Nothobranchius furzeri: one gene and its partner. The protein of the gene in region 1 purifies or fractionates together with the protein of each later gene. This does not show direct contact. Links are inferred from orthologs where the notes say so. Each region holds a gene or a part of one and is shown on either strand. Other genes may lie near its edges.

Region 1 (2,930 bases):
GGAGGAGGGAAAAGGCGAGCGAGAGAGAGGAGAGTGCGACGAAGACGGTGAGAAAATGAGCGCCAGCAGTCGGAAAGTGGAGATTTCTTAAAGTGTTCAGTTATTAAATCCATAGAAATTATAAACAATTGATATATTGCTTTTTTTACATTAGTAAATTATTTTACATATAGTTTAGCATTATTTTGGTTATAAATGTACTCTACGCAACAGAAAATCTGAGGAGCCACTTGGGAGCCGGCTCTTTTTGGTGAGCTGAGCCAAAAGAACCGGCTCTCTAAAAAGAGCTGGAATTCCCATCACTATTCTAGAAGGCACTATATCAAATACAGGGCATTTACATTATATCAAAGGTGGATTTGCCTGTAGTGTGTATCAACTTTACTTTTGAGTGTGACCTTCTTGGGTTGATAAATTTGATTTCCATTGATCATTTTTGTGTGATTGTGCTGTTAGCACATTCAGCTATGTAAACAATAAAGTATTTATTATGAGTATTTAAAGCAAACATGGAACACTGACCTATAAAAACACTTCTTTATTGCTTAAAGAATACAACTTTGTAGAATAACAAATGACTGTTTCACAACTTGTTTTTTTTTAACGCTGAGGGCTGACCAAAGTCACAATAAAGATATTTAGATACTGCTCCAGAGGAAAATGGAAATCATTTCAGCCTGAACACAAAAGCATCTCACAAGGTTCCTCACATCATTTACACTGATCTGGAGTCAGCAGTAAGTATCACGGTAGCACCTACACTTTTAAAAACAAAGTCTGAGCAGTAAGTCTGTCCTCCATCTTTGGTTCTATGAGATAAAAGTTTAATTTGCTCAACTTTGCAGCTAATTACCAATACTGTGGGCGGTTCTAAGGAAGAACAAAATGACAAATATCAGAACAAGCTAAAATAAAAAAAAAAGGTCTATTTATTTCTCTACATAACGAAACAAATTCAATATTCACAATGCCTCAAACAAATTCACTGTCTGAACAAAAATGCTAAGGGAGAAAACAAAATCTTTCCTGTAAAAGTGACCACCAATAATCAAATAAAGAGAAACGAGTTCATCTAAACCACCGACTGAGGACTGGGCGTCTGTGATGTACCTGAAGGAGCAGAGACTTGACGCTTGAGTCGCTGACGCGTCCCAGTATCTGCTCTCAGTGTGTTCACAACTACAAATCCAATCACAACAGAACATCAAAGAGCTCATTTCACATAAGTAACTTATATGGGGAACATAAGGTTAACACAAAACTCAGCCATTCAATCCAAATCGTTTCCAGGAACTAGGATCTGGATGGGGCCCATTCCTCTTTCACTGTTCTCTTCAAATGTGCTTATTTTCAGCGCTCAAAGACGTCTCCGCCAACGAGAACGCTGGAAGATACGTGTGCCAGCAGTGTCCCAGGACAAAGTCCGAACATGTACCCACATCCGGAGTTCACAGGTCATCCTCCTCATCTTCATCCTGAGAGGAACCAGCCTGCTGGGCTGCACTGGCAGATGCGGCCGCCATCTGTGCCTGCTGGGCAGCCTGCTGCACCTGCAACCACTCCTGCTGGGCGAGTTCTGCCTGTTGTTGCCGGGCCTGCAGCCACGCGGCCCACAGAACCAGAGAGAAGCAAGAAGAGCTTTTTATTTTTCCTGAGGACTGTGCATACGTAAAGCCATCAAAGAGATGTTTTACATGACATAACGATCAGTTAGAACATTTTATAACTAAAATGAAACCACATTTCAGTGTTTACTTTAAAGCAAAGCTTAGGTAAAGGTGTAAATTTGCAGAATGTTTAAGTTTAGTTACTGGTCAGATTTAGTAAAAATAAATGAATGAACAGCAGCAACAGAAACTCCATGTTCATTCATAAAGATTCATACAGAACATGGTGTGCTGATCGAGGGCCATTATGGGAGTGGAAACCTCTGATAGTCAAAAGTTAGTGTCAGCAACTTATTAAAATCCTTTGAGATAATATTAGGCGCAGTGAAACAGCAATATTGATCAATATCGTGCAGGCCTATATTTCAGCTTTTAGTTAGGATTTTTTTTTTCTTTATACAGAAAAACAAATCAGGAAAAGCAATAATTTTCCATCTATCCATCTATTTTCAGCCGCTTATCTGGATTCGGGTTGCGGGGGCAGCAGCCTAAGCAGAGAGGCCCAGACTTCCTTCTCCCCAGCTCCTCCAGGGGAATCCCAAGGCGTTCCCTGGCCAGCTGAGAGACATAGTCCCTCCAGCGTGCCCTGGGTCTTCCTCTGGGTCTCCTCCCAGTTGGATGTGCCTGGAAAACCTGACCAGGGAGGCAGCCAGGAGGCACCCTAACCAGATACCCGAACCAACTCAACTGCTTCTCTCAACGTGGATGAGCAGAGGATCTACGCCGAGCCCCTCCCGAATGACCGAGCTTCTCACCCTATCTCTAAGGGACAGTCCAGCCACTCTGCGGAGAAAACTCATTTTGGCTGCTTGTATTCGCGATCTCATTCTTTTGGTCACTAACCAAAGCTTGTGACCATAGGTGAGGGTAGGAACATAGATCAATTGGTAAACTGAGAGCTTTGCCTTCCAGCTCAGCTCTATCTTCACCACAACAGACTGGTATAGCGCCCGCATCACTGCGGATGCAGCACCAATCCACCAGTCGATCTCGCTCCATGTTTCCCTCACTCGTGAACAAGACCCCAAGATACTCAAACTCCTCCACTTGGGGCAGGACCTCATCCCTGACCTGGAGAAGGCAGTAGAGTTGTCAAAAAAATCAATACCCAGATATAAATCGATGCTAAAAGTGGTATCTAAATTAGATATTCCATCCCTGTGGTATCGATATTATGGACTATTATACACAGCCTTCTTCAAGTACACCGACACGCACGACAGCCAGATGCCGTAAAGCAGCCTCCGCCTCCCAGACAAACAG
Region 2 (2,593 bases), on another chromosome or scaffold:
TCAGATAACAATTCTGAATGCTTCACAGTAACATGAGACTTGAGTAAAAAATAATTCTAGTTTTATTATTATAGTTTGTGACTTTATTTGAAGATTATATGAACTACATATGAAAAATAAACATTCAAACAAATAAAATATCTGCACAATACAATTTGCTTTTTGTAGTCCACACACACACACACACACACACACACGTAAGCAAAATCACTTCACCAATTGTTTTGATATACTCACGACTTTCTTTAACCTTTTTACTGTGTTCCTTGTCGAGTATATTAGCCAATGTTGTATTAGCTTTCACAGCCCTCTGGTAGTCCCTCCACACTATCATTGAATCCTTATGCCTTTCAGACTTTGCATGTACTGAAAACCCCCTCCTCTCTCAGTTGCTTTTTTCCAGTTCCTAAATCCACATGGTGAGTCAAACACACTTCCTGCGCTACTTGGTGAGCTAAAATGTCTGCATGCATGACAATAGGTAGAGTCCATAGTAACAGAATATTCAACCCAAGGATGACTTTCATACCAGCTTGGCTGAAAGCTGCATCTTCTGTCTCCTATTAATGTCACTGGAAATGTCCTCAAATGATGCTGAGTAGGTGGGTCATCCTTGCACTTGCTGATATCTGAAAGAAAATAAATGTTAGCATGAGGATAAAAGTCATAATAAGTTAATTCAGAGTCTTATTTTATCTATTTATTAAATATAAACAACATAAATTTTGGTCCAGAGTCAGCATGCCTCAAATGCATTTTACACACAATATGAGCTGCAAACACAGAGGGGTTGTTCACCACAAACCTGACGGTAGTGTACACAGTGCAAATGACAGAAGATGTCCCTCTTTTTGCTCCTCACTCTCTCCCTCACAGCCTACATCTTCCTCCTCCTCACTCTCAGGGTGGACAGTCTGACCTCTCTGGTTCCTCTCCAACCAACTCCTCCTTCTCTCTTTCATCCTGCTTCTCAGCTCCCTCGTGACTTTCATCCTCTCTCTGTCTACGCTGTTCTTTATTAACAGCGGTAAAAAAGGACAAAATGACCCTTTTTCTTTTCATTGCCGCTGATGCTTCCAGTCAGTGCTGCGAGAAAGTCATAGATAAATGAATACTGTGATCTAATCTCAACGTGTCTAAGGCTTAAAATGCAGCAACTTCATGTTTATTTTACAGTTAATGTTACAAAGGAAAAACTAATCAGTGTTAACTGTGGATAGACTCAGTTAGGAACTTAAAAGTAAATGACAGAAACGCGCGACTAGATCAAAACACTGATGTCAGGAAAATAAACTGTATTGCTTACCTTCGTCTCTTAGCGTCTTTTCCGTTAGTCGTGCTCAAGAACTTCTTCGGGTCCCATTTAAACTATTTTTAATCTTGTATTCAAAAATCCACCGGGTAAACAGTTCTGTCCACAGAGTGTGCTGCGCTTTAAAGGCTCCGTGTGAAACGCTGCAGCGCATTAGTTCCCGTCTCCGAGGTGGCGCGGAAAAAAAAAATTCCGATCTCTTCAGCACAGGGGCCAGGGCCGGTTCTACAAGGGCCCATGCCCCTGTGGGCCCCCGTTTAAAACCGCCATTGGACATCAACCAGACAAAAAATAAGAAGTTATGGGCAAATATTAGTATTTTAAAGACTAAAGGGGAAAAATGTAAACAAATAAACAACATAATTACAAAATAACAAATTTTAGGCAAAATTTAGACACAAACTGAGGACAATATTTTCCTGATATACAGGGTTTATGTAGTTGTCTGAAAATGTAACACGTTTTAAAAAATACCGCGATAATACCGAAAACCGTGATAATTTTGGTCACAATAACCGTGAGGTTAAATTTTCACACCGTGACAACCCTAGACCTGACGTGCATCCAAACAAACCAGAGCACACTTATTACACAACACACGGCAGGATTATCTGATAAGATTGTCTTTAGAGCTGTAGACCCTCTGGTCATAAATCGAGATCACAAGAGTAAAGGTCTGAATACATACTAACTTGTATTGCTGTTTTTAAGAAGTTTGGCTTATCGTCTCCATCCGGTACTTACCCATGGGAAAGCGAATGACCTGGTAGTAACCAGGTGCCTCTGTTTTCTTCACAGGCTCCATGAAAGGCCAGGCGTTCTGGTGACTCTAAAATAAAGCTTGTGTGAGTTTGTGAGTGTTTATTTCAGACACAGCAGCTGACGAAAGGTCTGTTCCGTTACCTTCACATGCTGGAGGATGTTTTTTAGAGTGCTGTACAGCTGGTCCGGATCCTTCAATTCCTTCCTACAAGAAAAAACAACTCGGTTTGAGTTAAATCAAGGATATGAATAAACACATAAATGCTTCTAATGGAATCTTCTCTCACCCTTTTCCTGCTGGTTTCCAGCCCGTCTCACCTGTAAATACAATCAAATGAAGTTACATTCAACCTAAACGTAGACAAATAGTTATTCTGTCCTGGGTTCTGCGGAGGGTTACGTACGTATGCCAGGAATGCTCTCGATGGGAATCTGCCGGACTCCGTCCTTAAAACAGGACAGGCCTGGGTAGACTTTTCGGATCTGAGCCTGCTTCCTTTCTATGAGCTTCTTGATGAT

Evidence for each region.
Region 2: the proteins of dr1 (region 1) and kat2b purify together in Homo sapiens (affinity purification with mass spectrometry; 3 studies listed by BioGRID and IntAct, with this or other methods). This does not show direct contact. The link is inferred for Nothobranchius furzeri from reciprocal best matches to the Homo sapiens genes DR1 and KAT2B.

What each region holds. Positions count from the first base shown.
Region 1 is NC_091756.1:58,161,680-58,164,609, forward strand, and holds the end of dr1 (protein Dr1), read right to left. Parts: intron 1,596-2,930; coding exon 1,449-1,595; 3' UTR 524-1,448; downstream 1-523. UniProt on the Homo sapiens protein: The association of the DR1/DRAP1 heterodimer with TBP results in a functional repression of both activated and basal transcription of class II genes.
Region 2 is NC_091759.1:19,562,978-19,565,570, reverse strand, and holds the end of kat2b (histone acetyltransferase KAT2B), read right to left. Parts: coding exon 2,479-2,593; intron 2,393-2,478; coding exon 2,362-2,392; intron 2,280-2,361; coding exon 2,216-2,279; intron 2,142-2,215; coding exon 2,057-2,141; intron 1,556-2,056; coding exon 1,341-1,555; 3' UTR 1,307-1,340; intron 630-1,306; 3' UTR 530-629; downstream 1-529. UniProt on the Homo sapiens protein: Functions as a histone acetyltransferase (HAT) to promote transcriptional activation. Has significant histone acetyltransferase activity with core histones (H3 and H4), and also with nucleosome core particles.